Linked DNA regions of Sus scrofa. The protein of the gene in region 1 interacts with the protein of each later gene in a pairwise test. Links are inferred from orthologs where the notes say so. Each region holds a gene or a part of one and is shown in the gene's direction. Other genes may lie near its edges.

Region 1 (4,315 bases):
GCAGGCCAGGGGGCCTGCTGCTACCAAATCTCGCGAAAGTCGTTTTCCCTCCCGGGAAGTTGCCAGAACTAACTCTGGGCGGCATGGCCTCTTTCCGGCTTCTGCAAGCCCTTGTGAAAAACTTTATTGACAAAGTTGCCAGAGAGCGAACAGCGGACTCTAAGGAGGGCTGAGCCTAAGCAGATGGGCTCACAGCTAGGAGTGTGGCTTTGCCTTGTCTGACTGTGGTCATTTGGTTCGTTTTTCTGTCGCCCCCATTTGAGTCGAGCCTCTTTCAGGTTACTAGTTACAGTGATTCTAATTCTCTCTTTTCCCCCATTATTTAAACAAGCAAAAAACTTGTATGTGAAATTTTTTTTGGAAAGAACCGAGTATGACAAGGCCTTCCAAGATAAGACTCTTACACAGACACCTCAGCCCTTCAGCTTCCGACCCCAACCCAAAGATTTCCACTTGCATGTTCCTCACTTACTGTTCCAGTAAACATTTATTGAACATCTGCTGTCTTCCAGCCACAGTGCTGGATTTTGGAGTCACAGAGATGAGCAATTCAGACATTGTCCCTCCCCTTACGAAGCTCTAATGACTTAAGGGGAAAAGATCCACAGGAATGAGAAGTTACACCCTTACATTTCTGCCCCCTGGTCCTCCCATAGGAAAGATCACTGTGGATTCCTATTGCTGTCTTTTTTTTAATGGCCACACTCTCAGCATAAGGAAGTTTCCAGGCTACAGATTCAATCCAAGCCATGGCTGTGATCTATGTGACCAGAACCACTGCAGTCACGTTCTTAAACCACTGTGCCACGGTTTTTGTAACCTTAAACCTAACCTAAAAAGCAAGGTGCTTAGGGAGATGTTCCTGAAACAACCTGTCTTTCCTTTTTATTGGCCTTTCACTTGTTGTTCCTCTGCCTGAAACACCCATTCTCCTGATTCCCAGCAGGTCTCAACTCAAATATCACTTTGGCAAAGAAATTTTCCTATTGAAATTGTCTTATTGATTTATTTTCTAGGCTTCTTTATTATCTGCTACCCCAACAGAACAAGCCCCTTAAGTCCAGAGACTTTGCCTGTCATCTCGTTCTTTCCTATGTCTATGCCCAGAATAGTGCCTAACTAATAACAGGTGCTCAATAAATATTGAATGAATAAGTGTAGAAATTCCACCTCTCTTTTGGGTGTTTTCCAACCTACTCCAACATCCTTTTTTTTTTTTTGGTCTTTTGTCTTTTTAGGGCCACACCGCAGCATATGGAGGTTCCCAGGCCAGGGTCCAATTGGAGCTGTAGCTGTCATCCTACACCACAGCCACAGCAAAGCAGGATCCGAGCTGCGTCTGTGACCTACACCACTGCTCACAGCAATGCCAGATCCTTAACCCACTGAGCAAGGCCAGGGATCGAACCTGCATCCTCATGGATACTAGTAGGGTTCATTAACCACTGAGCCATGACAGGAACTCCCCAAGCACCTTCTGATGCACAAACCCATTCTTCCCCCTTTGCTTTCCTGTGCTGGGAGTTCCTACAAAACCCATGTTCCTAGAACACACTTACCTCTAGGCTCAGCTGCACCCCCACTTTCAGAGAGCATGACGTCCTTCTCTAAGGCTTTTTCTGTCGGCAGATTCAGCAGGGCGGGGCCTGCCCTTTAATCTGGGCCCCACCTGCTCTGGTCAGACAGGTTTGGAGACCCAGGTAAAGGGAGGGAGACGGAGAGAAATACTTGCAGAGCCAGCAGCGAGCTAGGCAGCTCCTTCCCGGACGCTGGGGACCCTCTACCTCTCTCCAGATGGAAAGTAAGTGGGTGTCACGGGTCCAAACATTAAGGGATCGGAGGTCCTTGAGCAGTGAAGGGAGGGAAGTTAGCCTCATCCAGAAGCAGTGAGATGGAGGACGGCAGGGAGGGGAGAAAGACAGGAGAGGAGGCATGGGAAACAGCTTTGATTAGACCTAGAGGTCAAAATGGACAGACCCAGGCCCTTCAGATGTGGAGTGGGTTGGTGAGAAGTTTGAAAACCGACCAAGTATCCAGATTGGAGACGAAAGAACAGGGTCCCCTGCTACTGCCAGCTCCTTGGGACAGATTTGTTGGCAAATCGTTGGTATAAGTTGCCAGGAGAGTTCCAGTCCGGGGTCTTCAGGGGAAGGCAAGGTTTGGAAGTGAAAGGGAAGCTTCTCTGTCCACGAGAAGGTCTTTAGCAAGAAGAAAGCCCTTGGCAAATTTCTAGACACCTCCTTTTCCTCTCATTCCTGCATTTGGGTGGCCATGACCCCAGGGGTTTTGGTGGAGAGGGGCAGGAGATGTGGGTGGAGGCGAGGCCACAGCTGCCAGGGCCTGTGCCCCCTGACTCACCCTCTCCTGGTGAATAGCATTTGATGTCGAAAGGGTGTCTCCATTTCAGCTGCTCACTTCCCTCCTGCCTCACTCTATTTCAACACAAGGACCATGTTCTCCCTAAGGTCCCAGATGGGGCTAAAGCCCACCGTAAGACCAGCTGAGCTTCGGTTCTATCAACCCAGAAAACAGCAGCTTTTTTTTTTTTTTTTTTTTTTTTTTTGGCCTTTTTATTTTAGGTCCGCACACGGGGCATGTGGAGGTTCCCAGGCTGGGGGTGGAATCGGAGCTATAGCTGCTGGCCTATGGCACAGCCACAGCAAGGCCAGATCCAAGCCACGTCTGCAACCTATACCACAGCTCGTGGCAACGCCAGATTCTTAACCCACTGAGCAAGGTCGGGGATTGAACTCGAAACCTCATGGTTACTAGTTGGATTCATTTCCACTGAGCCACTACAGGAACTCCAAGAGCAGCAGCTTCTGACAGAGCTTCCCTCTGCTCCTTCCAGGGTGACACGACCTTACGGTAGACCCCAGAAGTGAGGCCCCAGGATGACGGAACCCGAGGCCATGGCCCTGCTGGAGGTGAAGGGGCCTGCAGCCCTGGAGAAAAGCCCACCCCAGGCCTTGGTCCCCAATGGCGAGAAGACAGAGGGGGAGGGTGGAGCTGAGTCTCCCAGAGCCGAGTCCTCCAGAGTGGGGTCTTCAGCTGGGTCTCCCACAGCCGGACAGGGGACTGAGGATGGGCTAGATAGCACAGTAAGTGAGGCTGCCACCTTGCCCTGGGGGGCTGGCCCCCAGCCCAGTGCCCCGTTCCCAGATCCCCCAGGCTGGAGAGACATTGAGCCTGAGCCCCTCGAGTCAGAGCCAGCCACCAAGCTGGAGGAGTTGCCCGAAGATGACGCTTGCCTGCTGCCTGAGAAGGCGGCCCGAGCCTTCGTGCCCATCGACTTGCAGTGCATTGAGCGGCGGCCACAGGAGGACCTTGCTGTGCGCTGTGAGGCGAGCGAGGGCGAACGCCGCCGGACCTTCCTGCCCACCCGGGCCGCCCCCGCTGAGCCCCCTGAGCGCAAGTGGGCTGAGGCAGTGGTGAGGCCGCCTGGCCGCTCCTGTGGGGGCTGCGAGGGCTGCGGAGGCCATGAGGGGCTCAGGGCTGTGGCCTCCGTAGGAGCTGCTTTCATCCTCTTCCCCTGCCTGCTCTACGGGGCGTATGCCTTCCTGCCCTTCGACGCCCCGCGCCTGCCGACCATGAGTTCCCGCCTCGTCTACACGCTGCGCTGCGGGGTCTTTGCCACCTTCCCCATTGTTCTGGGTGAGCCTGGGTCCTGTGAAAAGGGAGGGGGCATCTGGGAGCTGGACTGGAGGGCAGGGCCTTCCTGGCTTGGAGAGCAGGAGAGTTTCCCCTTGTGAGACCTGGACCCTCGGGGGGGCCCCCCCGCTACCCTGTGTGCCCACCTCTGCCCCACAGTGTAGAGCCCATGCCCCTGAGCTCTCCACTATGGACCCTGCCTCCAGCTTCCTGCCTGCTGCTCCTCTTCTGACCCTGTGTTCTCTAACCCCACCCAGGGATCCTGGTGTACGGGCTGAGCCTGTTGTGCTTTTCTGCCCTGCGGCCCTTTGGGGAGCCACGGCGGGAGGTGGAGATCCACCGGCGATATGTGGCCCAGTCGGTCCAGCTCTTCATCCTTTACTTCTTCAACCTGGCGGTGCTTTCCACCTACCTGCCCCAGGACACCCTCAAACTGCTCCCTCTGCTCACTGGTCTCTTTGCCATCTCCCGGTGAGTTGGGGCTGGGGGTGCGGGACCAGGGAGGTAGTGGGGCTAGAGGGACCCAGGCCTCTGAATGTCTGGAGGTCCAGGCCCAGGGAGCTTTCTGGATTCTGGATCGGCCTAGATGTGCTTGTGGGAAAGGTGAATCCACTTTCTCCCTCGCACTTAACCTCACCTGGTAGCAGGTGATCAGCTCATATGC
Region 2 (4,301 bases), on another chromosome or scaffold:
CTCCATATGCTGTGGGTGCGGCCCTAAAAAGACCAAAAAAAAAAAAAAAAAAAGAAGAAGAAGCTAGGTGTCTGAAGGGCTGGGAAAAGGATATTGACAGCTGTGGGGACAGCAAGTTCAAAGGCCCTGATGCAGAGCAGGGTTTGTTCTGTTCTAGAAACTCAGGCACGTCCTCAAAGAGTTGGAAAGCACACAGTTGGCTCTGGGAAGTGTGCTTCATGCCTTCCACTATCCAATCACTCTTCAGGCAACCTGGGCTGAAAGAGGGGAGCCCCTTCTGTGGTTGTGTGGGACTCCGGGTTGGGGACGGAAAGCAGACCGGCCTTGGTTGAACCATCCTGGCCTTCCAATGAGATGAGAATGAAAGCAACACCCACTCTGGAGGGTGTGCCCCTCAGCACATCTTGGGGGAGATCCTGATGCCCGTGACCAGGTGCATGTCGCAGATGCAGAAATTGAGGCTGAGTCAGGAGAAATTACTCGCTCAGGATAACACGCTCTTCAAATGTCATCAGCCTGTTCACCGAGCCTGGCACCCAAGAGCCTTGCCCTCATCTTGCCAAGCTCCCAGCAATAAATAAGCCTGTCCTCCTTCCCCATTCTTCATCTGGGACTGGGCTGACAGACCCTTTACTTAGAAGCAGGAAACAGAAGCTCAGCACTTAGGGCCAAGACCTCCCCAGAATTGCAGAACAGAGAATCATATCTTGGGCTCTGACACTATTAAAAAAGTCCACCCTCATCTACTCAGCAGCGTGATGCTCCACAGGCTCTGTTCTCTCTCTGTCTCGGGTCTGTGCACTGGCGAGGTCCCATTCCCATTGCTACTAAGAGGTTTATTCCACCGTCTATGACCTTTTGTCCACAATTCCAAAATCCAAAAAAACTCCAGAGACCCACAGTTTTCCCACAAAGTTGGGCACCATTTGGTTCATTTGGTTACAAAACTTGACTTAACCAGGAGTGATTTTTGGTCCTGGCTTATCCCACTTGCTGTGAACGGCCACACCATTCCATGAGGAAATAACGTGTTTGTTTGTTAGTTTTTAACCGGGCAGTCTCAGACACCGCTGAGAAAAGTCATATATCTTATATGCACTGGGAAAACTCTCTAAACCCCGAAATATGCTGAATTCTGAAAACGGACCTGAATTTAACCCTGGCTTTGGCCCTTTTTCCAGCTAAGGAAACTGAGGCACTCCCTCCCCAAAGCCAAAACATTTCTGAGTTGAGGCAGCCCCAGGCACATTTGTATTCTAAAAACGGGAAGGGTCGTCTCCTTTCAACACACGTTACGAGGAACTGCCGAGCCTCAGAAGCTGGTAGTTCCCCCCCCCCGCCGCCCGAGATGGGGCGCCCCGGGGCGGGGTGGGGGGCGCTGTGCGCTGTGCGCTGGGCAAGGAGAATCCTTGGCGGGCGGGGCGAGGGGCTTCCGGGGCGGCAGCCACCTGGCCCAGCCCGCTCCGGCCCCGCCCGCTTCTGCTCCGCGCGGTGATTCACTCCCTCCTTCGCCCCGGGGCCCCCTTCCCGGCCAGACGGCGGGGAAGACGGTTGGGTGTGCAGCGTCCTCGAACCCGCAAGCAAGCGAGCAGCTCCTCGGCGCCCTTCGGGACTCAGGTCCACGCCATGGCGGATTCCGAGCGCCTCTCGGCCCCGGGCTGCTGGGCCGCCTGCACCAACTTCTCGCGCACCCGAAAGGGATTTGTCCTGTTGGCTGAGATTGTAAGTGTCCTGGGACTGGCTGGTGGGCAAAGGCGGGTGGAGTGGCTGGATCACGCGGACTGGGGCAGCCCCGGGGGAGGCAGGCTCGCGGCCGCGGGTGATCGGCAGTGGGGCGCGGGGTGGGTGGGTCGGTGACGGAGGCCCGAAACCAGGGGCACATGCAGGGCGAGTCAGTGAGGTTTGGAGAAGGTGGTCGGCAGCTGCTGGCCCATGGAGTCAGGCACGAGGCCCACAGGGCATACGGGCGACCCCGCGGAAGGAGACCCCGTAGATTCATTAGTGGACTCATAGAAGGGGTTCCCGGGGCTGGGTGGTGGGGGATCCTCCCGTGGCAGGGCGTGGCGCGGCCTGGGCAGTGGCGGGCGGGCTGGCAGAGCGCCCAGGGGCGGGACCTGTTGGGGTGGGGCCCCCGCGCGCGCTTGTCCCGCGGGGCAGGGCCACCCGTCCTACCCCAGTTCTTCCTCGCTCCTCTGTGACGGGGCGGGAGGTCCTTAGCTATTGGGGCCGCTCGGGAGCCTCGGTTTCCCACCCCCGGCAAAGGGGGTGCCTCCTTTGAGTCGCTCGTAAAAGAGGTGCGGCGCCTTTAACAGAGCCCTGCCCCTCCGGTGTCACTCGCACCGATTCCCAAAGGGGTTGCCCGGGGAACCGCACGTCCCGCCCCGTCAAAGCCCTGAAGCTGGCGCCAGCAGCGCTCACAAAAACCACCTGAAGGCACCACTCCCCTTGGGCTATCCTAGAAGGGAAAAGAGGGGAAACTGAGGCACCCAACCCTACCCCTCCCTAGCTAGGTGACCCTGGATAAGTTACCTCGTGTCTCTCTGTTCCTCTCTTTTCTCATCTATGACATAAAGGTATTAATAATAGTACCTGGCTCATTAGGTTGTTGCGATGATTGAGGGAATTAATACCTGTACAGCTCTTAGAACAATATCCCAAACACAGTATGCACACATTAAGTGTTTAGCTATTGGTCATCTTCCCAGTCCTGGTGGGCATCTGAGTTTGAGACCCTCCCCACCCCCAATTTAAACCCACGCCCTCAGCCCTTGGAGTCGATCGATCGAAGCCCCCTTTCGCCTATCTTTCCAGGTAGTGTGCCTGGTGATTCTGATCTGCTTCAGTGCCGCGACGTCAGGATTCTCTTTCCTGTCGGTGATAGAGATGATCTTTGCTGCTGTCTTCTTTGTCATCTACATGTGTGACCTGCACACCAAGATACAAATCATCAACTGGCCTTGGAGTGTGAGAAAGGGGCCACAATGACCAGGCTAGGGAGGGGCTTGGGGAGGGGGGGGATTTTGAATGCTGACTTTCCTCTTCTCCCTGCCCTTCACAGGATTTCTTCCGAACCCTCATAGCAGCCATCCTCTACCTGATCACCTCCATCCTTGTGCTCGTGGAGGGAGGACACAGCTCCAAAATTGCCGCAGGGGTAAAGGCTGTGGCTCTGAAGCACTGGGAGAGGGGTTTGAGGCTCCCGGGGCCATTTGTGTCTCTGCTTCTGTCAGAAAGTGTGTGACCCACAGGAGGTCACACCTGTCCTCAGGGCCTCCTGCAGAAAAGGCTGACTCAGGTCCTGGTTTTCCTCCCCCAAGTGTCATTGGCAATAAAGGGCCACAATTTGTCCAACACAGGGACTTGTGTGGGAAGCACAATGAGACGGCCCCTTTGTCAATACACTAGACTACCATCTGCTAGAGCTTTGTCTCCGTGTACAGTATGAATGGGGCCGCCTATATATGGGGCCACTCTGTGGCTGCACTGTGTTGAGAGGTACTAGGAAGGGGGAGGGTGGGGGTAGAGACTCATCTCTGGCCTTTCCCTGGGGCTCTCTGACTTCTCAACCTGGGGCTTTAGTCATCATCCCTGCGTGGGGTAGTCATTGAAGGTGGTAGGTACAAGGAAGTAAAAGAATGAGGAGTGTGACCTGCCCTAATCCAACCCACCTCCTTCTCATCACCCTCTCCAGGTACTGGGCCTACTGGCTGCATGCTTGTTTGGCTACGATGCCTACATTACTTTCCCCTTGAGGCAGCAAAGACATACAGCAGCCCCTACTGGTAAGTGTGTGGGTGTGTTGGGGGGGGGGGGGCGGTGTGGTTAAGGGGACTGAGAAAGCAAGAGGTCTTCCAAGAGCACGAATGCGAACTCTGTCCCTTCTTGGTACTCAAGGCTTTAGTGCCAAAAAGTACCATAAGCTTCAGTATACTTATCGGTAAAATGGGCGTCTTAAAATCTGTAACAGGAACCTGCCAATGCTGTTTCTCTCTTCTCCTCATTTGTAGACCCTGCAGATGGCCCCGTGTAGGTGAACTCCCTTCGCGTGTCTCAGCAACCTGCAAATAACACCTCCATCGCAATAACTCCTTCCCGCCCCTACTGAAAGTGCCTTTACCGGGAGACCATGCCTTCCAGCCTGCCAATCAACCCTCCTGGGCGTGGCCACCCTTATGGGTCCGCCTAGGTCCACCTTCCTTCTGCAGTATCCAGAGACGCTAGTTCTGCCTGGACAATGCCCCCACCTAAAGCCACAGATTTCAGACTCCAGGCCCCAGGTTGTGACCCTCTCCAAATAACCT

Evidence for each region. The genes of interacting proteins can lie anywhere in the genome.
Region 2: the proteins of TMEM79 (region 1) and PLP2 interact in binary tests that used the Homo sapiens proteins (3 or more experiments, as listed by UniProt). The two-hybrid records come from large-scale screens. The link is inferred for Sus scrofa from reciprocal best matches to the Homo sapiens genes TMEM79 and PLP2.

The regions. Positions count from the first base shown.
Region 1 is NC_010446.5:93,765,999-93,770,313, reverse strand, and holds the start of TMEM79 (transmembrane protein 79), read left to right. Parts: upstream 1-1,473; 5' UTR 1,474-1,801; intron 1,802-2,851; 5' UTR 2,852-2,894; coding exon 2,895-3,654; intron 3,655-3,908; coding exon 3,909-4,122; intron 4,123-4,315.
Region 2 is NC_010461.5:43,213,912-43,218,212, forward strand, and holds the start of PLP2 (proteolipid protein 2), read left to right. Parts: upstream 1-1,460; 5' UTR 1,461-1,626; coding exon 1,627-1,722; intron 1,723-2,811; coding exon 2,812-2,964; intron 2,965-3,058; coding exon 3,059-3,154; intron 3,155-3,691; coding exon 3,692-3,782; intron 3,783-4,007; coding exon 4,008-4,030; 3' UTR 4,031-4,301. UniProt on the Homo sapiens protein: May play a role in cell differentiation in the intestinal epithelium.